Linked DNA regions of Macaca mulatta. The protein of the gene in region 5 interacts with the protein of the main gene of each other region in a pairwise test. Links are inferred from orthologs where the notes say so. Each region holds a gene or a part of one and is shown on either strand. Other genes may lie near its edges.

Evidence for each region.
Region 1: the proteins of BYSL (region 5) and MID1 interact in binary tests that used the Homo sapiens proteins (3 or more experiments, as listed by UniProt). The two-hybrid records come from large-scale screens. The link is inferred for Macaca mulatta from reciprocal best matches to the Homo sapiens genes BYSL and MID1.
Region 2: the proteins of BYSL (region 5) and MTUS2 interact in binary tests that used the Homo sapiens proteins (3 or more experiments, as listed by UniProt). The two-hybrid records come from large-scale screens. The link is inferred for Macaca mulatta from reciprocal best matches to the Homo sapiens genes BYSL and MTUS2.
Region 3: the proteins of BYSL (region 5) and MRFAP1L1 interact in binary tests that used the Homo sapiens proteins (3 or more experiments, as listed by UniProt). The two-hybrid records come from large-scale screens. The link is inferred for Macaca mulatta from reciprocal best matches to the Homo sapiens genes BYSL and MRFAP1L1.
Region 4: the proteins of BYSL (region 5) and myomegalin interact in binary tests that used the Homo sapiens proteins (3 or more experiments, as listed by UniProt). The two-hybrid records come from large-scale screens. The link is inferred for Macaca mulatta from reciprocal best matches to the Homo sapiens genes BYSL and PDE4DIP.
Region 6: the proteins of BYSL (region 5) and EMD interact in binary tests that used the Homo sapiens proteins (3 or more experiments, as listed by UniProt). The two-hybrid records come from large-scale screens. The link is inferred for Macaca mulatta from reciprocal best matches to the Homo sapiens genes BYSL and EMD.
Region 7: the proteins of BYSL (region 5) and CEP70 interact in binary tests that used the Homo sapiens proteins (3 or more experiments, as listed by UniProt). The link is inferred for Macaca mulatta from reciprocal best matches to the Homo sapiens genes BYSL and CEP70.

The regions. Positions count from the first base shown.
Region 1 is NC_133426.1:10,388,121-10,392,445, reverse strand, and holds the start of MID1 (E3 ubiquitin-protein ligase Midline-1), read left to right. Parts: upstream 1-1,488; 5' UTR 1,489-1,817; intron 1,818-4,325. UniProt on the Homo sapiens protein: Has E3 ubiquitin ligase activity towards IGBP1, promoting its monoubiquitination, which results in deprotection of the catalytic subunit of protein phosphatase PP2A, and its subsequent degradation by polyubiquitination.
Region 2 is NC_133422.1:8,972,013-8,976,146, reverse strand, and holds the start of MTUS2 (microtubule-associated tumor suppressor candidate 2), read right to left. Parts: upstream 2,848-4,134; 5' UTR 2,646-2,847; coding exon 399-2,645; intron 1-398. UniProt on the Homo sapiens protein: Binds microtubules. Together with MAPRE1 may target the microtubule depolymerase KIF2C to the plus-end of microtubules. May regulate the dynamics of microtubules at their growing distal tip.
Region 3 is NC_133410.1:6,327,534-6,331,442, forward strand, and holds MRFAP1L1 (MORF4 family-associated protein 1-like 1), read left to right. Parts: upstream 1-1,207; 5' UTR 1,208-1,457; coding exon 1,458-1,841; 3' UTR 1,842-3,392; downstream 3,393-3,909.
Region 4 is NC_133406.1:119,938,476-119,942,063, reverse strand, and holds part of myomegalin, read left to right. Parts: coding exon 1-163; intron 164-2,901; coding exon 2,902-3,060; intron 3,061-3,588. UniProt on the Homo sapiens protein: Functions as an anchor sequestering components of the cAMP-dependent pathway to Golgi and/or centrosomes.
Region 5 is NC_133409.1:140,250,685-140,254,780, forward strand, and holds the start of BYSL (bystin), read right to left. Parts: upstream 2,837-4,096; 5' UTR 2,773-2,836; coding exon 2,505-2,772; intron 1-2,504. Other genes in the region: MED20 (mediator of RNA polymerase II transcription subunit 20), read left to right, coding at 3,315-3,328. UniProt on the Homo sapiens protein: Required for processing of 20S pre-rRNA precursor and biogenesis of 40S ribosomal subunits. May be required for trophinin-dependent regulation of cell adhesion during implantation of human embryos.
Region 6 is NC_133426.1:160,532,518-160,536,710, reverse strand, and holds EMD (emerin), read left to right. Parts: upstream 1-1,393; 5' UTR 1,394-1,491; coding exon 1,492-1,573; intron 1,574-1,696; coding exon 1,697-1,801; intron 1,802-1,966; coding exon 1,967-2,044; intron 2,045-2,258; coding exon 2,259-2,392; intron 2,393-2,846; coding exon 2,847-2,896; intron 2,897-2,980; coding exon 2,981-3,308; 3' UTR 3,309-3,715; downstream 3,716-4,193. UniProt on the Homo sapiens protein: Stabilizes and promotes the formation of a nuclear actin cortical network. Stimulates actin polymerization in vitro by binding and stabilizing the pointed end of growing filaments. Inhibits beta-catenin activity by preventing its accumulation in the nucleus.
Region 7 is NC_133407.1:41,502,780-41,506,367, forward strand, and holds part of CEP70 (centrosomal protein of 70 kDa), read right to left. Parts: intron 1,586-3,588; coding exon 1,439-1,585; intron 1,269-1,438; coding exon 1,100-1,268; intron 607-1,099; coding exon 492-606; intron 1-491.

The DNA.
Region 1 (4,325 bases), on a different chromosome or scaffold from region 5:
ATTTGCCAAGTTATATTTTCATAATATTTTATAACCCAAATTTATATTCAATAAAAATACACTCTCTATCTCATTTTATGATCTTTCTGGAGACATTTAAAGGGAGTCATGTTAGCAGTAAGTTATGACTTTATAAAAAGTATTTTAATAAGTTTGTATATTGCATTTAAATTCTCTGGACATATGATTATTAAAAATTATATTTGAACATGGAAAATTGCCATTTTAATGTTCTTCTGTCTCTTAAAGTTGATTCTATTTTGGGAAATGCTATTGGAGTTAAATTCTTTATCTGGGGTTTTGGATTTGCCAAAAACTGATCATGAGACTTTGGACCAATCACTTTATCTCTGTAAGCCAAATTTATTATTGTGAAGAGGAAATACTACACACTTCACAGTGTTCCTACAGAGATAAGAAGAGAAATTGTATGCAAAAGTCTTTGCCCAGTGGAAATTGCTATCCAAAAATAGTTATCCTTCCTGGCAGTGCAATTTTTGTTCCTTACTCATCTCAGCAGAAGCTCTTTGACATTGGTTTGTGTTGGTGCTCACTTAGGTGGCATCTGAAGATTCATTTTCTCGCTTGTCTTAAGCAGAGACCTAAAACAGCCTTGAGCTATTTTTAATAATGTTGCCACTACTCAACGAGCAGTCAACCCATGGATGAAACAAAAACAAGTGTTTTGTTTTGAGATAGGTCCTTTTTAGCAGACAATCTTCATCTCTAGTACATAGGAAAGTCTCAAGTCTCTATATTGTCTTCAGTGGAATTGGCTAGAATTTTTTAAAATTATTACTTTACTAGGTGGTAGATAAAATGTAAGGGGAAGAGCTATAGAGTTCTTTTAAAGATATATTTTCTTGTCTTCTTAAATCGAGGAAGTTGTTTAAAAATGTTTACATCCAAGTATGCAAATTCACAAGTCTTAGATTTCTTTCCTGAAACCATCAAATAACACATCAGCATGCGGGCTTAGGAGGGTTGTTACTGGAATAGATGTCATTATCTATCATTTTGCCCATCAAAAAATACAGTAGTGATTACTGCATTGTAAAGGGAGAAAACTCAAAATGATTGTTTTGCATTATCTACCAAAGGCCTGGGAAAGTTGAATAAGTGTTCGTTACTATGCTCAAATAAGGCATTTGAGCCTTACTTGATGGAGGTTTATTCACATTCTCTTTCTGTCACATGTTCTATTTACTTCTTTGAAAATAATCTCAAGTTCAATTACTCTGGTTTTAAAAACATGAAAGACAACTTATAAAATGCTACACTTTTTTCCCCTACAATGCCTTCAGATAATATAAGGCTGGTCACAGCCCATGATATAAAATACTAGCTGTTGACTCACAGTTACACTACAAGGGCCAATTTTACAGACTGCCAGGATAAAGATGATTTTAATTAAATTGCATAAATCCTTTTGTACTGCAACCAAACCCCTACGCAGGCTGACCGACTCTGAGCCATTCTGGCGTGTGTAGAGTTAACCAGGTTACCAGGATTCCTAGTTAACTTCTTTCACCAGGAATGCAATTCATGTTTACCTATATAAGGAAACCTGTTAGACTGACCTGAGTTTGGCGGATTTTCGCGCTGACTGAGAGGCGTGTAAGCACACACCCTGGAGAGGGGGAGTGATTCTGAGCTGGACAGAGCAAGCTTCCTGAACGCCCCAGCCATTCAGCTGATCCGAGGCAAAGAGCCGGCACTTGCCCCAGACCAGCCTGCTTGGAGGACCTACAGGTTTGTCTCTTCCAGATCACAACTGAGGAACAAAAACCCCTGTCCTGGGAAAAATGGGGAAGCCGGTGAGTCTTACCACTCTCTCTCTGCTTGCTTCTGCTAAGTGGCACGCCTGTCTGCTCTCACCCAGGAAGCAAAGTAAAAGGCGTTGCTCAGCCTCTAACCCCACAACTCCTTCCTGAACAAATACAATGCTTTGCGAATACCTCCAGACAACTTTTTCTGCCTGTTTTGCACACCAAGAATCCACAGAGGGAATGATTTTTAGCACTTTAGACATTCCAGAGAGTGTTTTTCCTAGGCAAGCGTTTCTATACTATCGTGATGAGCAAACTTTCTCATCTTTGTTACACTCTAAAACAGTGGAAATTAGCCTTGGGGTGCTTTGTGAGGAAGGCTGAGTCCCCAAGGAAGTGATAGTAAATCTAAATGGGGTTCTTAAAACCACAGGCAGTGTGATGGTCTACAAAAGCCTAATTTGTCACTAAAAAGGCAGTCTGAAGGTATCATTTTTCATTCACACAGCAGCAAAATCCTTGCGTCCTGCATATGTAATAAAGGACACCTTCTGAGACACTTAGGAAAAATAGAAGCCGAGCTGGCCTCTTTGTTCTAGACAATGTAAAGAAGCTCGCTCTTGTGTTTTGACAAGGAGCGTATGTCTATTTTTATATATGGCGAGAATGGTGTATAAAGGCTTTATGTCAAAGGTATTGTGGTCACTTGAGTCAAAATCTGGCTATATTCTCTATGTGTACAAAAATCTCAATCTGAATGTAATTAAACATGGAAATGTGAAATTGTTTAACAGACTTGCAGGGAAATTTTAGTTATATTTGGGAACAGCCAACTATAAGAGACAACTGGGAAAGGAAAAAAATTGTTTCAACTGAGTTCTGGGGCAGAGGTAAAACTTTTGCAAAGAAAGTCAATTTTTTGTAGCTGTCAAAAGTGATTTGGAATCAGGTAAAAATTTTTATTTTTATTTTTTCGTGGTGATGTGGTTTTTTGAGTTGAATTAACTTGGATAATTGTGTTGAATGATTTGACTGCTCATCTTTCAAAGGAATGCTGTTGTTTTCTGTCATATACAAACTTAATCCTGAGTTTGGGGAGCAGGTTTGTGCTACTGACTGCAACAAGTGGCACAAAGACTCAATTTCAGATTTCTGATATTATGAAATTAATTACTTAAGTTAATTTAAAGAAAAGTAATCAGTGCAAACAAGCAGATTTGAGAAAATGACCACCTTTTTAAAAAATGCAAGTGATAGTCCATTTCCTAGTGAGACTATTGATTTCATACAGGCATTGGCAACTGCCTAGTCATAGGGACAAAAGCTATGGCCAATTTTCTCTAGGATCTTTGACTCTAGAAAGCATAACTTTCGCAAGGACACAGTTTAAATGAAACTTGTTCACCTCCGTGAGAATGAAACATAGAAAAGCACCGTGTATAATACAATGGACATTTTAGTAAATAAAATTCTTAATAGCACAAGCAGCAGAACAGAAGGGACAATGCAAATGTTTTAAAGTTTATCTCCTCAGTGCTGCTCAGAAAAATATGAGTCTTGACATTCTGTTGCTGTCAATGGGAGTCAGCAACCCAGGAGACACAAAACACTATTTTAGAATATACAGTTAATAACAGATGGTTTAATACCAGGTTGTCTCACCCTGCCGATGAGATGGCCCCAAGCCAAATCAGCCAGCACGTCTGCCGTTTTTCCTGTGAGTTGATATGTACATAGTTATTATGCACTAATTACACTAACAGCCAAGGGAATATATAACCAGAAAGACAGATAAGTCTCCTGGGGTAGGGAGGGCAAGGGGGCGGTGTATGCATAGGGTTTTTAGATCTCATGTTTAGAATTATCCTTGCCAGTGGCATATGAATTATTGCAGATGACTGGGAGTCTCACGGCTAGAATCTACTCATCCCTGGCTCCTCAGCAGCCTGTTTGGGGGTAATAATATTGTTTATGGTATTTAACAGTTTAGTGTTAACAAAGTTCCAGGAGGATTCCTTCTTAAAGATTAAAGTTTTTCCAGTGTCTGAACTAATCCTCCAATTAAAGACAGTTAGGACCTATATTGTTGCATTGACCCTTTTCGAGTCACAGTACTGTGTGCTTGCATGGAGGGTTGAACGATTCAGCAGCCTCCTTAGATCTGCAAGATGTTATTAGGTGCCCTGGTTAAAAGAGGTTGGAAAATACTGGAGAAAAAAAAAAAACAAACAATGGGAAATAGGTCTTCTCAGAGCCTTAATATGTTCATTTACTAATACGTGTTTTGACTCCCTGAGAGAAGTATAGTGTGCACCATATGAAGTATGGTTTGCTGCAAACCTACTTGACGGCTCGTTTCTAGGGTGATCATTCTGAGAAACGATCTGATATTATGAAATTAATTAGCTTCTCAATGGATGGACCACAGAGCACTAGTAAATGATGAGTGGGTTGCAGACATACCCAGTTGTTGACCCCTCTTGGCACATGGGCCATCAGGCTGTGGCTGGCCTGAGCTGATCCCTGGAAAGTTATTTCTGGATCACATAGCTTCCT
Region 2 (4,134 bases), on a different chromosome or scaffold from region 5:
ACTCCCCATTGAGGAATGAGTCTGATCTATTTGAAGAATACAGTAATTTGGCATTCTTTCTTCCTTTGACCTGGCTTATATTATATTCACTTATTTAAACATGGAAGCCTATTTAATGCATACTCATCTAATTTCATACGAATTATAGCAAGTGAAATTTCAATGGGTCTCCTGAGATACTGGGTGCATCTTATTAAGAGAATCAGACTCTTCTAATTAAAAATGGTCATTTCTCTAGACAATCTCCTCTAGTCAAAGACTCCATTTCTTCACCAGTGTATCCATGAAAATCTGCAATTCACTTAAAGAGGACATTTTACTTTCATAACTCATTGAAAATATGTCACAGATTTTGGGACAGTCAACTTACAGACCATATCATGATGACATTCTCTTACCTCCTGCAAAAACTTTTCACTCATTTGACCGAAAGGATGTCCTGGGGGCTTGATTCCAGACACCATCAATCCTGAACTGAAGACCCTTGGCTTCTGCAGGTCCGGCTTGAATTTCTCATAGAGGTTGGCAGACGGCTTCAGGTCACCACTCACAGCCTTCTCTTCATGGGGAAGAGGCATGGTACATGTGGGCGGGGCGTATGGAAGCCCCACTGGAAGCAGCGAGGCGTCCACCTGGCCCAGGGCCTGGGGACTCCTCCTGATGTAGGTGATGATCTTGGGCCTCACATGCTTGGGCTTGGGCATAATGACGGGCTTGGTTTCTGTCCTCTCCTCTGTTTTTTCAACCTGATGGTTCTCCGTTCCCTCCTGCGAGGAAGGTGTGTCCTTGGAATGTGTGAAGACAGGCTTGGGGATCCCACTGGGGCAGGCGTTCTTGTCAGGCACTTTGGGGGATGTGTTCGACAAGCGTGCACTATCAGCAGGGGGTGGTACCGCCAAGGGGGACACTGCATCCATACCGAACACGCTAACATCCTGAAAACGGCTACTGGGTGTTGTAGGCTGGTGGGTCATGTTCACAGTTGTCTCTGGGAGGAGGGGTGCTGGAATATTGAGAACTGAATCTACTCTTGCTGAGGTGCGTTCAATCTTATCTGCATTCTCTAGAAGGTTCCTGCTTTCAGCAACAGACGTGGTGATCTCTCTGCTTTCCCGTGCTTCTGAGCTGCCACTTTGAGGTTCCAGGGGCTCAGGCACCTCTGTCTGGCTCTCTCCAACGGAAGGATTGAACACCAGAACTGTAACACTGTCCTTGTCCACTGTGGGTTGCTCACTGCCCAACTGCCTTTCCTCCTCAATGACATCCAAGGGTTTGCTGTCAGTCAGATTAGTAGGAATAAAAGCCACATGACCATCACCTGGTGAAAAGCTGCCGGATGTCCTTTCACCCAACTTCCCACCTGCACATGGTGAAATGTTGCCAGTGGGCTGACTATCAGCCCCTCCTAAGGAAGCAGAGGCCTGTTTGGGGGTGGCGTGGAGAGAATCCGGCTTCCCTGGGTTGACTCCTCTCTTCTCTTCACTGTTGCCTCTTCCCACCCCAAGGTGGTGGAGGTCACTGTTTGGCAGAGAGCCAAGTGCATCGGTGGTTTCTGGGTGCGCCTCCCCACACAGATCCTTTCCCTCCAAGGCTGAAAGATTCTCTTCCCTGTGGCATCCCAGATACCCTTCCTGGGCTGCCTTTCCCTCCTGTTCAACCCTCCTGGGTGAAACATATTTCAGCTCCAGCTTGGCCTCTGCCTTTCCTTGACCTAACTGTGCTTCTGGCTTACTCGGGATTTCCCTCGATGTCAAAGTCAGATTCAGAGCAGGCTCTGGATGGGCGGAACGTGGTATGTGCTCACTGCACACCCGCAGTACATGTGCTCCCACTGTCTGGGTCTCTGAGGGGGTGCTCTGCTTGGTCTCTGAGGTAGATGGTTTAGGATGACGCACACTCTTTCCCTCTGAGGTACTGTCAGTTGGAGGGAACGCTGCCGGGAGAGCGCAGTCTGGCAATGTCTTCTGTGGCCCCTCCCCACCCCCAGGCACCTGACCCCGTGCTTCCTGGGAGTCAAGGGGTGCAGGCTGTGGATGCTGCGGAGTCAGGCTCCCGACTACAGCTACAGAGCTGCTTGCTCTTTCCAAAGAATGCCTCCTCAGTTCCTCATTGTTGAGGGTCTTTGCCAATTTATCCTTGGGAACGTGCCGGGGAATTTCAGCATCCCTTTTAGCCAAAACGTCTAGACTGGCCTCACCCATCACATTTCTCCAACTCGACAGACTCGGTCCCTGGATACTCCGCGGGGTCTGCGGGCTATCTGCGCCTCTCTCCATTGTGTGCTCCTCATTGAGTTCCCTCTGAATGGTTGAAGAAAGTCTAAAATCTTTCAGGCTGGTGGAGCCAGGCTGAGATCCCTTCTCAAAGCTCTGAAGTTGGTGAAATTCCTTATGGAAATGGGTACGGTTTTCTGGCTCACTTGAATTTGTATTTCCAATTTCATCTTCCAGGTCACATGTCTTGGACTCATCATGAGAGGAGCTGACCTCCAACGTGATTTGATTGGCATTTGTATCTCCCAGACTTAGGATGCTCTCATTATTATTTCTTGCTGCATTTCTGTTGTCCCGCAGCTGAGTGTAACATGATTTCTTAGGAGCCACTGGGACGCTCATTGTCAACCCTTTGGTGGGGCTGCTTGCCATGCAGTCCTACTTAATGGAAATGGGCTGCCTTCAAGCTGCAATCAGATTAATAGGAAATTCTCAGGCTGCTTGTCCTCCCCTGACAATGTCAGCTTGTGACACTGCTTTAATCATTCTCAGAAGAGCTTGAAAAGCAAGCATTCTCTTGATATACAGCAGGAACTAGGTTCCGGCTGAATGAGAGCCAATTAGTCCGTGAGACCTAGAGAGAAATAAAAATACATTCACATTAGATGGACAAATAGAACTTCTCAGGAGGAAAAAAGTGGTAAACACAGATTTATTCGTCATTTCTATACTATTATTTCATTCACTCGATAGTTTTCTCAAAAACCTTTCTGATCAGGGCTCCTGCTGACCAAATACGGACAGAAATTAAACATCAGAATGTTTAATGTTAGAAATGGATTATAAATGCATGTGAAATCTTAAATCCAAATTTTAAACATCCACAAGTCTATACTGATACTGATTTAAAAGGGTGAAGGAGAAGTAAAGGCTCTTCTTTACAGAAGAGCATCAACGAATGTAGAAAAAAATTTACAGAATTTGAAAAATCACTATTTTGCAATCTCTGCATTAATAATTATCTTGCACAAGGGATGCCAAAGGTACAAACATTGGGTAAAAGATTGTTGGGGAACAAGATATTTATAGATGCTTAAAGTATCTTTCCCCCAGCTACTTTATTTCTTACAAAAAGAAAATTTGATCTTTACAATGGAGAGATCTGGTAGACACCACATTAACCACGTGATCAAATTTAACATCACTGGTATCGAAACTGACATGACGGACTCCTGATATTAGTTAGTTCTCAGGGCCACACATCACCTATGCAGTAATGTTCAACCAGAATTTAACCATGAGAAAATAACCTGGCGAATTTAAATTGAGGTATGTATTACAAAATAACTGGCCTAACTGGTCCCAAAAAAAAAGTCAGCAGAGGCTGGATTTTCAAAATATGTTAGCAAAGGATATTATTAGGACAATGAGAGATGTAAATATGGACTGTATATAAGGTACAGGTATGTCATAATTAATTTCCTTGGGTGTATAATCGTGCTATAATTATGCCAGAGATCATCTTTGTTCTTGAAATATCCATGCTTTAGAATTCAGGGGTAGTATGTCATGATTTCTCTAACTTATTCTCAAATGATTCAACCAAGAAAAACATGTGTATGTATGTGTGTGTGCATATGAGAAGGAGACATATGTGTGCAAAAGAGAGAAAGAAACTGGCAAAAGTCAACCATTTGAATATCTAGTTAAGAATTTTACTACATCTGCAGCTTTTCTATAAGTTTGAAATTTTCCAAAATAAAAACTTGGGGGAAACGCTTCATTCCGGCCTTCGCGGCCTGCATGATCAGGCCCTGAACACCTTTCTGGCCTCATCCCCACCTCACCATCTGCTCTGCAGGCTGCTGCCACATTGGCCTCATTCCTCACAGTACCATGTTCATTACTCCCTGCCTCAGGG
Region 3 (3,909 bases), on a different chromosome or scaffold from region 5:
GTGCCAGCCTATGTCTTTTGCCTGTTTTAAAATTTTGTCTTTTCCTTCTTGATCTGTAGGAGTTCTCAATATATTCTGCATGAGTCAAATATCTTTTTTCACGGTGCCTTGCTCTTTCCCTCTTAATGTTCTTTTGATGAACATCTGCTAGAATGTTGGTGTTTGCAAAACTGTTTCGCACACGTCATCTTACAAATCCCTCTTCCCACTGACAGATATTCAGGCTGGGGCCATTGGTCTTTATCAGACTGGAAAACTGAAGTTCTGATCTGTGGCACTTGTGTAAGAAGGATCCCCCCTCTACACACACTCATATTACTACTAGTGTGGCACTGGGTGACTAAGCCTAGCAATAGACTTCTTCCATTCCACAATGGCATTAGGTTGGTGATCAAAACGTATTGACGATCAAAGCCACATTTACTAGGTCCCTGCTCATTTTCAGGTCTTGTGTGTGGAGGGACATAAAGGTGACCAAGACCAGAACCTGTCCCCAAACAGCCTCCAGTCTGGTAGAGGCACTTAGGTACTAGGCAATTCCTCTCTCTAAAGCATTCTCTAAGGCCCTGCTTGACGCCAGGCTGACGGAAAGGGCGGAGGACAGAACTGAAACAGAAGTTGCCCTTTACCTTGAGGACCTTACAGACTCTGAAGAGAGACCAAAAATCACGGGCCAGAACCACCCAAGGCAGCGAGCGAAATTCCCCCCAGAACAAAAGTATGAGCCAGGGGTGGGGAGGACAGAGGGACGAGTTCCATTCTAGAACACTGAGCAGGGACTGTGGACCCACATTGCTTTGAGCTCAAATCACGACTTTTAGCCCGGTTTTTACTTCTCTTATAGGTTCGTTGTGAGGGCTAAGTGAATTCATATAAATTAATCCAAGCTTCTGCATGCTTAGATAGTAAGCGCTGTGAACGCCAGCCAGTCTTATTCAAATATGCGGAAGGGAGGGTCATTTTTACTTTAAAAAAATAATAATAAAAGTAAAACCCCTCTGAAGGGAAGCTTTAGGGGAAGACGCGAACAAACCTGCCGCCACCAATCTAAATTAGAGAAGAGGGCGAGGCGGGGCGCCGGGAAGCTGACGGCCATAGCCATGCGCGCGCCCGAGACCCCTTTACGTGCGCGCGCCCGCTACTGGGTCTCGCCGAAGGCGTGACCGTAAAGGAGCCCGGCTCTGTCGTGAAAGGGCCGCAAAAAGGCCGAGGGCGAGTTGACGGCTGCGACTCCATTTCGCAGGTCGCTTTGCTGTGTGTATCCACGGCGATTCTTCCCACGGAGTTCCAAAGCTAAAGGCTTACAATTAAAAGGAAGAAAAAAATTAAAGATAATTCGGGAGTACTATTGACAAAGCGTGTGGGCTCAGCCTCCAGCAATCACTGCTGATCTCCAGTCCCTGGGGGGTTCCGGTAAGAAGAACGCCCCTCCGGTACTGAAGAAGCGGCAGGAGGAGATGCGGCCCCTGGACATAGACGAGGTGGAAGCGCCTGAGGAAGTGGAGGTGCTGGAGCCGGAGGAGGATTTCGAGCAGTTCCTGCTCCCGGTCATCAACGAGATGCGCGAGGACATCGCGTCTCTTATACGCGAGCACGGGCGGGCGTACCTGCGAACCAGGAGCAAGCTGTGGGAGATGGACAATATGCTCATCCAGATCAAAACGCAGGTAGAGGCCTCGGAGGAGAGCGCCCTCAATCACGTGCAGCACCCGAGTGGCGAAGCCGACGAGAGAGTGTCGGAGTTGTGCGAGAAGGCTGAGGAGAAGGCCAAGGAGATTGCGAAGATGGCAGAGATGCTGGTCGAGCTCGTCTGGCGAATAGAGAGAAGCGAGTCTTCTTGAAGGAGGAAATCGGCGGTAAGGTCGGAAACTCGCGGGAGCTTGGATGGAACTCAGTAGTCGCCCTAAGCATGGTTAAACCGCGCCCTGTAAAAAGTTATGTTCTAGGCCTGCATCCCCCATTTTATCGCATCAAAAATTGAGCATTGGGAACAAAGTTGGGGTCAAGAGGAAAGAATGCGTGCTGGTTTTGTTAGGTGTTAGTATACCGTTTTTTTGTGGCCTCTCCCTCCCACACTGGTAATTAGAGAAAAATAAAAGTAACTTCGGGTTTGTTTTTGTGAAACGTAAGTCAGTTCTAATAGGGCAGTCGCCAGGAAGTAGACCTGTCTCGGCACTAAGGGAGTTTGGGGAAAGCCACAGAAGACCTAGGCTGTGGAGCACAATGGAACGCAGGCTGAGAACGCAGGGAAAGAAATAAAAGAGTAAAGCCAGAGGCCATTACCTGAAATTTCCAGACTGTTCTGTGAGACAGGTATGTCAGAGGACCGTGTCTCAAAGAAGTGGCATTCTTCTGGGTGGTTCACATTTATTTTTAACATCAAGATATGGAACTTTGAGAGTCAATGTCTTCATGGTAAATTTCTCCCAATTGTGCTTTAGGTTCACAGCTGAGGACTGTAGTCGACTGGTAAGGATGAACTGACACCTTGAGGAAACTGAAACAGCTTGTCATTTTCTCTGTTTTGTTTTTGTATGTTTTTTACCCCCATGTAACAGTCTCCCTTATGGTCAGTGATTGATGACCTCGATATGGATTTAGATCATCAAATGTGTTTGGTTCTGGAAATACAACTTTTGTCGAAGAAATACTTTCACAAGAGAAATGGGGCTTAATTAAGTTGTTTTCGTGGTCACGTTTACTCTTGTTACTTCGCTGTGTTTTTGAAATGTTGGGCATGGCCTTGTATTTTGCTGTTACCTTTGTGACCTGATCGTTTTTGGGAACACGTCAAGACTTGGGATCAGAATCTTCCAACTTTAGAGGTGCAGTGGAAGATACTACGCTGCCTGGTTGAGCCTGGTGAAGAATGTATTAATGAGACTGCTTTGCATAAAGCTGGGAAGAACGAGAAGACAGTTGGAGATGGAAGGTGGTTTTGTATATATTTTGGAACTTTAGTTCCTCTGTGAGATGAAAGAGGAGAGCTATGTTTTGTGGCACATTGTCTGATATATATTGTGTAACCTGTCAGGTGAGTTGATTTAGACCACATAGCTGACCTTTTATGACAAGGCAGTTTGATTAGGAACTGTCGTAATACCCTCACACATTACAGGGGCATCAGAGAATGGCATCGAAGAGACAGTCTACAAAGAGCTTTAAGAGGCCAGAGAAAGGAAAAGACATTATCAGGGCCTGGAAAGTCTCTTCCAGTTCATCAGGGTAGTAGACCTGTCAGATTGGAGGTCAAAGTCAAACGTATAGTAAGTATTAATTTGCCTTGAAAAACAAAGACCTAAAAAGCCTTTTTTAAAAAATAAATTTTTTGTTCACATGACCAAAGCCCCTCCTGTGTGTGTTAATAAAAGAATCATAAATCAATCTTTTTGAAATGGATGTTCTTCACTGAGTGTCATCAAATGGGGTTGAACTGCTTGTAGTTAAAGGCTCTTGGTCAGCCTTTAACTGAGGGAGAATTATTTCTGGAAGGTGCTGTGGAGATGAGCTGACGGAACACTCAGTTCTGAAGAGAAAAACTTTTCGGCTATCCTCTGGGCCAAGCCCCTGCTTTTCAGCAGCAGAAGTGTGTTTAGTCAACCAGTGGGAATGTAACGTGCTTCATATCTTATCCAAGGCACTAGGAACATAAAGGTGAGACGTGGATGGGACGAAGGTGTGGGACAGAAATGGAAACAAGGAATTGCGATATAGAGTGTGTGGATATCATGTGGGAGCCCTGAGGAGGGAGTCAACTCTTAGTAGGGAAGTGTGTGAATTCAGAGCAGGTGACTTACCTGGGCCTGAAAAGTAGAAATGAATGAAGACATATAAGGCATAAGGATCAAAGTGAGCAAAAGCCTTTTGAGTTCCAGCACTGGGGAGACGGCCAGTGAGCTGGATGTTAAG
Region 4 (3,588 bases), on a different chromosome or scaffold from region 5:
TCAGAGTGCTTTATTCTGCAGCCAGCTGGAAATACAGAAGCTCCAGAGGGTGGTACGACAGAAAGAGCGCCAACTGGCTGATGCCAAACAATGTGTGCAGTTTGTAGAGGCTGCAGCACACGAGAGTGAACAGCAGAAAGAGGCTTCTTGGAAACATAACCAGGTAAATCATTAACTATTTTATTGCCCTAAATGCTGACTTTGCCCTGATAATAACTTTTTAGCAGGATAGTTTGTGTTGAACCCTTGAATCACTTGCATAATCTAAGTATTTCAGTTCGACACTTGCTGCCCTTGTACCATATGCTAGTTAGAGTAGTCCCCCTTTATCCACAGTTTCACCTTCCATGGTTTCAGTTATCTGGGGTCAACCACAGACAAAAAGCATTAAGATATTTCAAGAGAGACCACATTCACATAACTTTTTTTTTTGAGACAGAATCTCACTCTGTCTCCCAGGCTGGAGTGCAGTGATGTGATCTCTGCTCACTGCAAGCTCCGCCTCCTGGGTTCATGCCATTCTCCCACTTCAGCCTCCCGAGTAGCTGGGACTACGGGCGCCTGCCACCACGCCCGGCTAATTTTGTTTTTGTATTTTTAGTAGAGACGGGTTTTCATCATGTTAGTCAGGATGGTCTCGATCTCCTGACCTCGTGATCTGCCTGCCTTGGCCTCCCTTACGTAACTTTTGTTACAGCATGTTGTTGTAATTCTTCTATTTTATTGTTATTCTTAATCTGTTAGTATGTCTAATTTGTAAGTAAACCTTTATCATAGTTATCTATGTACAGGAAAAAACAGTTATATACAGGCTTCAGTGCTATCTGGTTTCCGGCATCCACTGGGCGTCCTAGAATGTATCCCCTGTGGGTTGAGGGGTGATTACCATATTGAGTTGTGCCCTGGAAATACAAGGATGAATAGCACAGGCTCCTTTCTTTTAAGTTACTTATAGTTCAGTAAGAGAGACAGTCGCATAAGCTGAGTTTCAGAGTGGTAAATTCTGAAGGGGATGTATATATGGAGTCCTACAGGAATATCTAGGAAAGGAGTCAAGGAAAAGGAATCAAGGAAAGCTTCATGAAGGAGGAGACATCTGAGGTTATTCTTGAAGGATGGTTAAAACCAGTCAGAAAAGTGGGGACGAATCACTAAGGTCAGAGGAATGACATGCATAATAATCAGCCCTGTCTTTTATTTTTTATTTTTGAATAATAAAATATACAATTCTTTTCTTTCTTTTTTTTTTTTTTTTGAGACAGAGTCTCACTCTGTCACCCAGGCTGGAGTGCAGTGGTACTATCTTGGCTCACTGCAAGCTCCACCTCCCGGGTTCACGCCATTCTCCTGCCTCCGCCTTCTGAGTAGCTGGGACTACAGCCACCTGCCACCACACCCAGCTAATTTTTTTTTTTAATTTTTAGTAGAGATGGGATTTCACCATGTTAGCCAGGATGGTTGTGATCTCCTGACCTTGTGATCCACCTGCCTCGGCTTCCCAAAGTGTTGGGATTACAGGCGTGACCCACCATGCCCGGCCTTTTTTTTTTTTTTTTGAGACGGAGTTTCACTCTTGTTGCCCAAGCTGGAGTGCAATGGTGCAATCTTGGCTCACCACAACCTCCACCTCCCGGGTTCAAGCGATTCTCCTGCCTCAGCCTCCCAGTAGCTGGGATTACAGGTATGCACCACCATGCCTGGCTAATTTTATATTTTTAATAGAGACAGGGTTTCTCCATGTTGGTCAGGCTGGTCTCAAACTCCCAACCTCAGGTGATCTGCCCACCTTGGCCTCCCAAAGTGCTGAGATTACAGGCATGAGCCACCACGCTGGGCCAAAATGCACAATTCTTAAATGGTTCCTTTATCTTGTTAGCTTAGAGCGTATATGTTTAAGATTTAAAAGATTTTTTTTTTCGTGGTCTCTTTTCTTAAGCTCTTTAACACTCAAGTTTAAAAGTGTAATTTTTGAAGGATCTCCCTGGTTTAGTGGTTTGGAGATTAAATATTAGCCCTGAATTTCCTTTTGAAATATTAAAATTTCGGCTGGGCACAGTGGCTCACACCTGTAATCCCAGTACTTTGGGAGGCCGAGGCCAGTGGATCATGAGGTCAGGAGTTCAAGACCAGCCTAACCAAGATGGTGAAACCCCATCTCTAGTAAAATTACAAAAATTAGCCAGGCGTGGTGGCGGGCATCTGTAATCCCAGCTACTTCGGGAGACTGAGGCAGAGAAATGCTTGAATCTGGAAGCCGGAGGTTGCAGTGAGCCGAGATTGTACCACTGTACTTCAGCATGGGCGACAGAGTAAGACTCCATTTCAAAAAAAAAATTAAAATTTCAGATGTCTGGGCAGGGTCAGGGAGTGGTGGAGGATGGGGGTAGAAATAATTCTTAACTTTTTGTTATTTGGCTAAAGGAAACATTTTCCCAAGATTTGTTTGGTTGATGAGAATATGTATTTTGGGAGCTCTCTAAAGTAACAGATGATTTAAAGATTACTGACTTTCTTATCAGAAAGATAAATATGGCAAGCTAAGAAAGAAGAGTGATGGTCTCTATGAGATCTTTAGAAAAAAGGATGATAGGAATAGTTTATCCTTGAGCTTACTGTAAATAATCTAGGTTTACCATAGGACAGATTCTCATTTAATGGTTCTACACATGTATCCTTTTTAAGCCAAAAAATAAGTATTGAACTATAATTATCAAGCTTACGTCCTACCCATTCACAACTTTTACAATTTTCCATTTCCCATTCAATTCATGTATAATACTTCTATAGCAGTTTTAATAATGGCATCCTCTACCGCTCTTTCAGTTTATATACCTTGAAAATTTTAAGGCCTCTATATATAACCATGTGACAATTTTAGATCTCTTAATATGTTTAATTCAGGAATTGCGGAAAGCCTTGCAGCAGCTACAAGAAGAATTGCAGAACAAGAGCCAACAGCTTCGTGCCCGGGAGGCTGAAAAATACAATGAGATTCGAACCCAGGAACAAAACATCCAGCACCTCAACCATAGTCTGAGTCACAAGGAGCAATTGCTTCAGGTGAGTTTACATGATTTCAATGAAAACTGGGCTCATAGAACTCTGAAATTTGTTTATATAAATTTAAGATATTATTCCACCAGTGTTGAGTCCCTGCTATAAGGCAAACATTGAGAGGTGGGAATCAAGAGGATTTAAAATAAATAGAAAGTATAATTTGTGAATTAAGATGCTTACTAACAAGTGTAAGAAACAGTACATATAGCCCTGATTTAAGCAGTCTTTTATGAAGTCTTTTATAAAGACTTAATATTCAGAAAATAGTTATTAAGCACCTCTGTGAGTCACACACTTTTCTGGGCGTTGGGAAGACAAAAGATTTGGCTACTGCTCTCAGTTTAATAGATGAAGACAAACTACAGAAACTTCCAGAGTCATTTTGATGATGGAATGAAAGTTTGAGGGGAAAATGGAGCATTAAGAAGAGACTGATCTCTTCTGCCACCTACTCTAAGCTTCAGTCACATTGAATCCACTACATTTCACTGAATGTACAATTTTTTCATTGTATGCGTAGTGTGCATATTT
Region 5 (4,096 bases):
GGTGGATCACCTGAGGTCAGGAGTTCGAGGCCAGGTTGGCCAACATGGCAAAACCCCCATCTCTACTAAAAATACAAAAAAAAAATATTAGCTGGGCGTGGTGGCAGGCGCCTGTAATCCCACCTACTTACGAGGCTGAGGCAGGAGAATCACTTGAACCCAGGAGGTGGAGGAGTCGAGATCACAGCATTGCACTCCAGCCTAGGCAATGGAGCGAGACTCTGTCTCAAAAAAAAAAAAAAAAAAAAAAAAAAAAAAAGTACTATGAAAAAAGATAGGGCAGAAATATTGGAAGTATGGAGATGGAGTAGAGTGCTGCAATCGTAAATGGAGTAGATAGGCCTCTCTGAGAAAGTAACCCTACAAGTGTATGAGAACAAACTATCCCAGAGAGAAGGAACAACCAGGCCAAACGCTCTAATTTCCCATGTTTAAGGCACAACGAAGCCTGTATAGGTGGAGTGGAATGCGCAGAGGAAAGCAGTGGAAGAAGTCAGACTGGTAAAGGAGGCAGATCATAAAGCGCATTGTAGACCACTGTAATCCCCTACCTGTGGAGTGCTTTGTAGAGAGTATGAGATATGGCAGGGTGCAGTAGCTCACACCTGTAATCTCAGCACTTTGGGAGGCCAAGGAAGAGAGGATCACTTGAGCCCAGGAGTTTGAAACCAACCTGGGCACCACTGTGAGACCTCATCTCTACAAATAATTAAAGAATTAGTGGCTGGGTGAGGTGGCTCACATCTGTAACCCCAGCATTTTGGGAGGCTGAGGTGGGCGGATCACTTGAGGTCAAGAGTTCAAGACCAGCCTGGCCAATATGGTGAAACCCCATCTCTACTGAAAATACAAAAATCAGCTGGATGTGATGGCTCATGCCTGTAATCTTCGCTACTAAGGAGGCTGAGGCAGAAGAACTGCTTGGTCCTAGGTGGCAGAGGTTGCAGTGAGTTGAGATCGTGCCACTGCACTACAGCCTGGGCCGTCTCAAAAAAGAACAACAACAACAAAAAAAAGAATTAGTTGGACATGCTGGCACACACCTGTGGTCCCAGCTATGTGGGAGGCTGAGGTGGGAAAGATAGCTGGAGCCCAGGAGATTGAGGCTGTAGTGAGCTATGATTGTGCCACTGCACTCTAGCCTGGGTGACAGAGTGAGAGACTCTATCTCAAAAAAAAAAAAAAGAAAAAGAAAAAAAGGAGAATATGAGATACTAACGAGGAGGCTACTGTGATAATCCAGGTGAGAGATTGTGGTGGCTTCAACAGGATGGTGTTCCAAAGCGGTGAAAAGTGGTCTGATTTTGAATATACTTTGAAGGCAGAGTCATCAGAATTTTCTTACAGATCAGATGTGGGGAGGGAGAGACAGAGAGAGGAGATGGGGCGGGGGAGAGAGGGAGAGACGGGGAGAGAGAAATACAGGAGTCTAAAGTTTGTCTTGAGCAAATGAAAGAATACGCTACTGACGGGGAAGACAATGGTGAGAGAAGCAGGTTTGGAGAGGTCAAGATTTCTGTTTTGTACATGTTAAATTTGAGCTGTCAGATTTTAAATTGGAGTTGCCAAATAGGCAGTTGAATATAAGAATATGGATTTCATGGAAGAGGTCAGGGCTAGACTATAAAGTTAGGAGTAGTCACCCAAGAGATGGTATTTAAACCACGAAACTTGCCAGCACCAGAGAATATTTGAAGAGGTCAGAGGACTGAGGATAAGAGGTTGCAATAGGAGTCAGTCAAGGATACTGAGAAGTGAGGTGGCAGTAAAACAGGAGTGTTGATGTCTTAAAACCCAAGTAAGGATACTGTGGCCAGGAGGCCACTATTCAATTGCGTCAAATATTGCTTTAGATGAGATCTGGAAAACGGATGAAGCATCTCAGAGGTCAACACTCCCTCCCTAGCGAGAAAATATCAAACGTCTTTCATCTCTCTCCCTCTTTGGCTGCTAAACAATGTGTTTTCTGCTCATAACACTTCCCATTCGTTTTTCAGTTCTCAACTTAAAAGGTCCTGCTGCAATCGGAGAAGCTTCTCAAGACCAATGCTATTGTTACCAGGGAAGCGACACTTTATCATAGAAAAATATTATTCTAAGAGTCTACTTAATTGACTCTCTACTGGGCTTGACTGTAAGGTCCTTAAGTCAGACGTGCCTATGTTGTTTACTTCTGTACCCAAACATTCGATAGAACTCCGAGCATAGTACAAAGCTCGTAGTGGGTATCCCATATATATTTACAAAACCAATGGATAAATGCTAGGGTGGAGCGAGCGATTACTGTTGGCCTAACTTAGGGGATGTGTAGAAGGGAGTGCCTAAAACTAGGAGTGGACGCGGAGGGCTCTGAACAGGGTTCAGTTTCCCATTCCATTACTTTTGCAAGTGTAATACGGACCCTTTGTTGACTCGAAGCAATTCCCCTGCCAGACACTTTTTAGCTGTCCACCCCGCCCCACTACTGGCCACTGTCTTCCTCGGATCTCATCCCAGACACTCACCCAGCCGCGTGGTGCGTTCCCGCGACGCCGCGGGCTTGTCCCCAGTCCCATGCTCGGCCTCGAGCTCCTCCTGTTGCTGCCGTGCTTGCTGCAAAATCCGCCGGCTCAGCCGGGGTCCCACATACTCTTCCTCCGTTTCTCCGGTCCTGCGACCCCGCCGCTTCTCCCGGACCCCTGCCCGCACCGCATTCCCAGCCAGGATCTGATCGGCCAGGGGCGCATGTTTTTCCTGACCCCCGACCCCACGGGCCGCCTTCAACTTGGGCATTTTTCTCGAAAACGTTGCCGCGGAGGTTCGCACGTGGGGACGGCGAAAAAGCCAGATTGCGCTTGCGCGGTGGACTCCCGGCTCTCAAGAGGCCACGCGGCGATCACAGCGCCCCCTAGCATTCGGAGGCCAGAAGCACCATCAGCGCCGCCCCTCCCACTAAAAGAGCTCCCGGGTTCCGGAGCTGGACTCCCCAATATATTCACAGCCTTTAACGTTAGCTTCTCTCAACAGTGCAGTCTTTGAGTGTCGCTCTTAGCTTCATGGGTCTAGGCCTAGAGTGCTCAGCCAAACGAGAATGTCTGGATTTAGAAACCTGTGGGCGGGAATCCGCAGATGATGTCACTGGAGGTGTCACCGAGTGGCCCTGAGACCCGCCCCACTCCTTGGGGAAGGCGTGGACCCGGCGCTCTGTTTTTACGTATTTCCGGAGTCTCTTCCGAGACCGAAGGTTGTGTTGGGGAACTGAAGCAGTTTCTGTGGGCGGATAGGGAACCCTGCGTTTCTACCGTGTGATCCGGCCGCCTTCCTGGCCCGACGCCATGGGAGTGACTTGGTAGGACTGCAGGGGGTTTTGTGGGGCGGAGCTTGGAGTTGTGAAGGGCCGAAAAGAGGACCTTGACCGTGGTCCGCCGTCCCCTGGGAGCTGTCCTCGGGTTGTGTGGATGAGAGGATGCCGTGCGAGCCGCGGGTTCCCCGGCCTTGTTTCCTCGGAGATGCGCCCCTTCCTCTTGGAAGGCGGGAAAGCAAAGCGAAGTTTTTTTTTTTTTTTTTTTTTCTTTAAGACGGAGTCTCGCTCTGTCGCCAGGCTGGAGTGCAGTGGTGCGATCTTGGCTCACTGCACCCTCCGCCTCTTGGGTTCAAGCGATTCTCCTGCCTCAGCCTTCCGAGTAGCTGGGACTACAGGCGCCCACCACCACGCCCGGCTATTTTTTGTATTTTTAGTAGAAATGGGATTTCACCATATTGGCCAGGCTGGTGTCGACAAAGCAAAGTTTTTTTTTGTTTTTTTTTTTGTTTGTTTGTTTGTTTTTGAGACGGAGTCTCGCTCTGTCACCCAGGCTGGAGTGCAGTGGCCGGATCTCAGCTCACTGCAAGCTCCGCCTCCCGGGTTCACGCCATTCTCTTGCCTCAGCCTCCCGAGTAGCTGGGACTACAGGCGCCTGCCACCTCGCCCGGGTAAGTTTTTTGTATTTTTAGTAGAGACGGGGTTTCACTGTGTTAGCCAGGATGGTCTCGATCTCCTGACCTCGTGATCCGCCCGTCTCGGCCTCCCAAAGTGCTGGGATTACAGGCTTGAGCCACCGCGCCCGGCCGACAAAGC
Region 6 (4,193 bases), on a different chromosome or scaffold from region 5:
CCATAGCTCATCACCGACGTCTGCCCCCTGCCTAGACACGCTGCCCTCAGGGACTATTCCGACAGGAGAGGACGCCCCGCTGCAGCTCCCCCCAGTGCCCCGGGTGAATGAACGGCATGAAGGATTAGGCGGGCACACGTTGTCTCTGTACGCATCGCACGGCGCCCTCTGCCCGCGCCCACTGGCGTGCCCGTCGGCATGCCCGGGCCCCTTCGAAGGCTGCTTGCTTCTGGAGTGCCAGCGGCCTCCTGGCCCAGTGCCCCATTTCCTCCCGGGTAGAGTGAGGGAGGAGGAAGGGAAGCAGAGAGGTAGGCGGTGGGAAGCAGCAGGCACATGTGCGCGGGCGAGAGCCCTGCAGACTGGGAAGAAGGGCCCGTGGCAGGGGGTCTGCGGAGATCCCATAGGCGCGGGCCTTGCCCCGCAGCCGCTTCCCGAGCAATGCGCACACAAAGCGCCCCCGGCAGTGCCTGGCCCCGGGCCCGCGCTCTCTTAGGGTCCGCTGCCGGGGCGGCCGACCGGGATGCGGCCGGGAAACCCTAGGCTCTGGGGCCCAGGAAAGGGGGGCGACGGCGGGGAGCAGGGATGTGCAGGGACCGGGCGAAGTCCAAGTGACTTAGGGACCAGAGCCACCCCAAGCGCCGACTTCGCCCGCTCGCACGTCCCGGGTCCCTAGCGCGCAGGCCCCATCCCTCTCACCCGGCTGGCTCAAGCGCGCCACAGGGTGACGTCTTGGCTCCCAGCCGTGTCGCCCTGACTCCCGCGCGGGCCCCGCCCCCTGCCGCTAGCCAATCTATGCGTTTGTGACTTTTGGGCCCGCAGCCCCGCCTACTCCCACTGCGATACCAGTTTGCATTGCCCTGACTCCCGCGCGGGCCCCGCCGCCTACGCCGCTAGCCAATCCGTGCGTTAGTGACGTGTGGCGCCCCTCGCGGCGCGGCTTGCTCCCACCGCGAGACCTTCTGCCCCGCGCCCGCGCGGGCCCCGCCTCCTCCATCGCTAGCCAATCCCCATGTTTGTGACGTAAGGGCTCTCCGCTCCGCTCGCTCCCAACGCAAGACCTTTTGCTCCGCGCCTGCGCGGGCCCCGCCCCCTCCATCACTAGCCAATTCCCGTGTTTGTGACATATGGGCTTGCGGCCCCGCCCGCTCCCACCGCGAGACCGGTTCCCACCACCCTGACTCCCGGGGGCCCGCCCCCTCTGCCGCTAGCCAATCCGTGAGTTGATGACGTTTGGGCTCGCGGCCCCAGCCTCCCAGCTCTCAAGGCCCGGCCGGTCTGTGCCGGCTACTCCCGCCGTTAGGTCCCGCCCAGCGCAGCGCGCGCAGCCTGCGAAGCCAGCGGCCGTGACGCGACAGCGATTCGGCTGTGACGCGAGTGCGGCCGCTCCCGATGCACTCGTGCCGCCCCCGCCGTGCTCCTAGGCAGCCGTTGCTCGGCCGGTTTTGGTAGGCCCGGGCCGCCGCCAGGCCTCCGCCCGAGCCCGCACCCGCCATGGACGACTACGCAGATCTTTCAAATACCGAGCTGACCGCCTTGCTGCGCCGGTACAACATCCCGCACGGGCCTGTAGTAGGTACGCGGCGGCGGGCGGGACCCCTTCCGGGCCCCCTCCTCGTGCTCCGCCCCGCGACCTCCCCGCTGCCCTCCCCGCGCCCCTTCCCCGGACCGCGGCCCTGACCGCCCCGTGTCCGGCCAGGATCAACTCGTAGGCTTTACGAGCAGAAGATCTTCGAGTATGAGACCCAGAGGCGGCGGCTCTCGCCCCCCGGCTCGTCCGCTGCCTCCTCTTATCGCTTCTCTGGTGAGAGCCTCGCCTGTGGGGACGGCCTGGGACGCGGGGAGGATGAGGTAGCGAGGGTGTGGCAGGGGTGCCGGTCGAGAGCGGCACTGGGGAAAGGGGAGGGAAGTCTTGGGGTGGGGGTGGGGGTGGGGGGGCAAACAGTTCTGTCTCCTCCTTTCAATCCAGACTTGAATTCGACGTCAGGGGATTCAGATATGTATGATCTTCCCAAGAAAGAGGACGCCTTACTCTACCAGAGCAAGGGTAAGGCAGGGGTTGGGTGGGCACGCTGGCACCTTCACCCGACTGCGTCAGGGACCCCGCTCACAGGGAGGACCTGAGACCTCAGTCCCAACCACTCCAGCAGCCTTAGGAGGGAGAAACTGTCACAGGTCCCGAAATGGGATTCAGATTAGGGCCATCGGGCCAGGCGGGGCACACCGATGCCCCCTCTGCTACCGCTGCCCCCCTTCCCAAGGCTACAATGACGACTACTATGAAGAGAGCTACTTCACTACCAGGACTTATGGGGAGCCCGAGTCTGCGGGCCCGTCCAGGGGCTTCCGCCAGTCTGTGACTTCACTCCCAGATGCTGACACTTTCCACCACCAGGTGAGCTGGTTGGCAGGCGTACTGTACTTGGGTACAACCTAGGGGATCGCGGCTGTGTTTGGATAAATCCAGGGGGCCACTGGGTACAAATGGTGGCCCTTGGGCCTCTGGGGAGACTTTGGCTCAGCAGACACCTGTTTGGTCAGGGTCCTACTTTGGGGAGCCCTCAGAACTATGTGACTAGAGCACATAGGATGCGTCCTGCACCCTGGTCTGGGATCTAGGCTCCAGCTCTTCCTGAGAGTCCTGGGGGCAAAGGGGGGTGCTGGGGCATGAGCACAAGTAGCAAGGCCCCATGGATAAAAGGCCGAACACCCAGAGTCATTCAGGAGGGTGTGGGTCCCTGGCCTTTAACCAAAGGTCAGAGGGGACCTGCTGGGGAAATTTGAGAGGGACGTGGCAGGGCCATTGTGGCCCTGCCAGCCAGTTCCCTCACCTTGACTCTCTTCTACAGGTACGTGATGACGACCTTTTGTCGTCTTCTGAAGAGGAGTGCAAGGATAGGTATGTATGTATGGGGAAGGCCAGGGACAGGGGCTGGTTCTGGACCCAGGCTCCTGGCCCACCTGTTCCCCTCTTTTGCCTCAGGGAACGCCCCATGTACGGCCGGGACAGTGCCTACCAGAGCATCGCGCACTACCGCCCTGTTTCAGCCTCCAGGAGCTCCCTGGACCTGTCCTATTATCCTACTTCCTCCTCCACCTCTTCTATGTCCTCCTCATCATCTTCCTCTTCATGGCTCACCCGCCGTGCCATCCGGCCTGAAAACCATGCTCCTGGGGCTGGGCTGGGCCAGGATCACCAGGTCCCACTCTGGGGCCAGCTGCTGCTTTTCCTGGTCTTTGTGATCGTCCTCTTTTTCATTTACTACTTCATGCAGGCTGAGGAAGGCAACCCTTTCCAGAGGGAGCCATGAGGGTCTGGGCTTCAGAGCCAGGTCTTCTGGGGAAGTCCTGGCTGACTGCCTTAGCAGTGGGGGTGGGGGTGGGGGTGGGGGCAGGGGCAGGGGCAGGGGCTTTTATGTGTTCTTGCTTGGGGGGCGCTGGGCCTAGCCCAGAGTAGTGCTTGCTCCCCCTGCCTTGTCCCACCAGGGAGGCAGCAGATTCAGGCCCTCCATGGGGGCCTGAGTGTGCTTTCCTCGGCAGCCTCCTGGCCCTGCTTGCCTGTAACCCTTAGGGTCCAGGAGGGCAAGGCCTCGCTCAGTCAGAGGAGAACATGGTTCTTGTTGTCATGCATGCCTCCTTTTTGTCATCTTGTTGGGGGGGATTAACCAAAGGCCACCCTTTGTTTTCGTGGACACACAATAAAAACCCCATTTATTTTTAATGCGTTGGCTCTTCCTGGAGGAGAGGGTTGGGCTCCCATGGCAAGGGCCTCTGCGTCTTGGGACTCGAGGATTGCAATCTGGCTTTGTTGGGTCCGCATTTTTGCTTTGGTCTGGGGATAGGAATCAAATGCTACCCAGAGATGTTTGTGTTTTGTTTGGGAGTTTTATTCCCTAACTCATTCCCCAAAGCACCTGTAACTGCTTATACATATAATTGTGGTACAACAAGGCGTATACAGAGAACCCACTTAGAAATTCAGGCAAAGCAGCCGGGCGCGGTGGCTCAAGCCTGTAATCCCAGCACTTTGGGAGGCCGAGGCGGGCGGATCACGAGGTCAGGAGATTGAGACCATACTGGCTAACACAGTGAAACCCCGTCTCTACTAAAAATACAAAAAAGTAGCCAGGCAAGGTGGTGGGCGCCTGTAGTCCCAGCTACTCGGGAGGCTGAGGCAGGAGAATGGCGGGAACCCG
Region 7 (3,588 bases), on a different chromosome or scaffold from region 5:
AGATTGTCAAGTTACTTAAAAGATGCTATTCCAAGGCTGGGCACGGTAGCTCACACCTGTAATCCCAGCACTTTGGGAGGCCAAGGCAGGTGGATCACTTGAGCCCAGGAGTTTGAGACTGGTCTGGGCAACATGGTGCAACCTTGTCTCTCTCTCTCTATACACACACACACACACACACACACACAAATTAGCTGGGCGTGGTGGTGTGTGCCTATAGTCACATACACACAGAAAAGATGCTATTCCAAACAGGGAAGGTAAATAAGTTTTAAAAGTCTTTAATTTCACCCCTCCATGAATTCTGGATAATATTTATTTTTATTTTTATTGTTTAGAGACAGGGTCTCACTGCATTGCTCAGACTGGACTTAAACTCCTGGGCTCAAGTGATCCTCCCACATCAGCCTCCCAAGTCGCTGGGACTACAGGCGTGTGCCACCACGCCCGGCCATTCTGGATGATACTTTGTAAACTTTTAAAACAAATACCTCTGGAGGTCTTCAGGTCCTAATACCTGCATAATCTGCTCATTCACATCTTCATTAATCAGCCTACAGAGTTTTCCAACAGTGCTTACCAGCACACACAATGAAGATGAACTATCTGCAAAAGAGAAATAAAAGGCTATTTTAACAGAGAATTTTCAAAATTACATACATCAAACATTTTATGCTTCAGTTATCCTCAATTTTTTTCACTTAAAAATTTTTTTATCGGCCAGGTGCGGTGGCTCACGCCTGTAATCCCAGCACTTTGCGAGGCTGAGATGGGTGGATCACCTGAGGTCGGGAGTTCAAGACCAGCCTGACCAACACGGAGAAACCCCGTCTCTACTAAAAATACAAAATTAGCCAGGCATGGTGGCATGTGCCTGTAATCCTAGCTACTCGGGAGGCTGAGGCAGGAGAATCGCTTGAACCCGGGAGGCGGAGGTTGCGGTGAGCCGAGATTATGCCATTGCACTCCAGCCTGGGCAAAAAGAGTGAAACTCCGTATCAAAAAAAAAAAAAAAAAAAAAAAAAAAAAATTATCTACTTTTTGTTAATTTACTAAAAATTCTTAAATGGGGGCCAAAAATGACAAACTAGGTCATCACCTAATTCTAAGAGTTCTTGGAGGTTTCTCACAGCATTGTTCATTTCTCCAAGCCTAGTATAAACTTCATTCATTCGGGGATAGACTCCATTTAAAGAAGGCACATCAAATAACTTTTGGAAGTGAGAGACAATAGCTTGCAAAGTTTGAAAGTTTGGCATATTGCTGTCCTGTCCAAAAGAGAGGTAAAAAATAAAGAGTTCATATCTTAAAATAATCCCAAATAAAAACTTTTAAAAGACAAACAGAACTCTAGTAGAACAAATATTAATATCCACATCAAATTATCAATTTTTGAGATAAGAGAACATTAGAATGTGACCATTTATGTAAGTATTACCTTTTCCTTATTTTCAACTTCTTCCAACATAGTATCTACTATAAACAACAAATCTTCAACTTTGATACCTTCATTTTCATCCTGCTTCTTCAAATTATGCCAAGGTACCAGTTCTGCAGATAGTGTTTTCAAGGACTTATACAAATCCTTTATAACAAAAGAAACTATATGGTATTATTGATTTAAATAATTTCAATAGTAACATAATAGAACATAACAAAATTATAAGTTTTATATATGTTTTATAAAATTAATAAAAAATTACACAGGTTAAATTATATATATATAACCATCAGTATTGTTTAATAAAAACACTATTACCAATTTAGAACAAGTCAGTTAAAATTAGGTTTCTCCAGGTAAACACAGGCTTTACAGAAAACATTATACACTGATTATTCTGAATCTGGGTGCTCTAAGTAATTTTATGTTATTTATTATTGTTCCATATTATTTCATTATTTTGAATTATTGATACACAAAGAATAAACTTGCCTTTGTATTTTGGTTTTGAGTATGTTATATAACAGCTTTATTGAGATGTAATTCATATACCATAAAATTTACCCTCATTAAGTATACAATTCAGTAGTTTTAATATTTTCACACATGTACAAACATCAGCACTATCTAATTTCAGAACATATCCATTACTCCAAAAAGAAATCTCAGACCCAGTCACAGTCCCTCCTTCCCCATTTTCCCTTCCCTGCAGTTCCTAGGGTTGATCTCTAAACTACATTATATTTCTAAGGATTTGCCTATTCTGGGCATTTTGCATAAATGGAATTATACAATAAGTAGTCTTTGATGAATGGCTTCTCTCACTTAGCATAATGTTTTTGAGATTTATCCATGTTATAACATGTATCTCTAGGCAAGTTTTCAATGTGAAAGGTTCCCCAAATTTATTCTACATTATAATACTCAGTTTTCTTGGCCTAGTTGTGGTGCCCTAATTGATTTTAAACTGTGCACAATGGGCAAGGCTACTGAAAGTTTAGAGCTCTAAACTGATCAACTGACAAATATTTACTGAACATCTACTACAGGTTGAGAATCCCTAATCTAAAAATCTGAAATGCTCTAAAATCTGAAACTTTGAGCAACAACATGACACTCAAAAGAAATGCTCATTCGAGCGTTTTGAATTTCGGATTTTTGGATCAGGGATGCTCAAATGGCATATATTCTGCAAATACTCCAAAGTCTGAAAAAATTCTTAAAACACTTCTAGGCCCAAGCATTGTGGATAAGGGATACTCAATCCATATGTGTATGGCACAGTGCTTGGTCCTTCAGAACAATGCTGTTCAAAAGAAATGTAATGTGAGCCACAGGAATTTTAAGTTGTCTAGGGCCATAGTATGGAAAGTGAAAAGAAACATGTGATATTAACTGTAATAGTATATTTTATTTAACCCAATATATCCAAAATATTATCATTTCAATATAAAAGCAATATTTTAATTTTTTCCATACAAAGTCTTTTAAATCCAGTGTATATTTTACACTTATAACGCATCTCAATCAGGACTAGCCACCTTTCAAGTGATCAATAACCACATGCAGCTAGAGGCTACCATACTAGATAGCATAGCTCTAGAGAACAGAAAGAAGTACAAGAAGTTCCTTCTTTTTCTAACTTATTTTAGTACTTCACTTGGCATTCTCCACTTAAGGCTCAGACTTCACATATTGGTATCTTTAACCTTTCAATTGGTAGGAAGGCAGTTACTATTATAGTAATTCATAGCAATAAATTTCATGTTAAATGAATGTTTTACCATCAGTGCCACTAGAATTTGAAAAAAAAAAAAAGTCAGCAAATAACAGCATAATGATATCTTTATTAACCAATGCTCCAGCAACAAGGCACATTTATAAAGTAATCTATGGTAAAAAGCACACCCAATCTAATACATTTTTGCTTCAGAATAAAAGAGTATTACAAAGCTAAGAAGAAAAGATGTTCTGGTCTCCTAAGCAGTGACAGGATGGTTGTAGCACAGTCTATCAAGTAAGCTCTGAAAAATATAAGAGTCTCCTAGGTTCTTTACATTGCCCAGTTGTGGAGATGTAGAAGTACTACCATGGGCCAGCCTACCGTGTATGTCTGGCCTCTGAAGCACTAGAGAATAGGAAAGCGA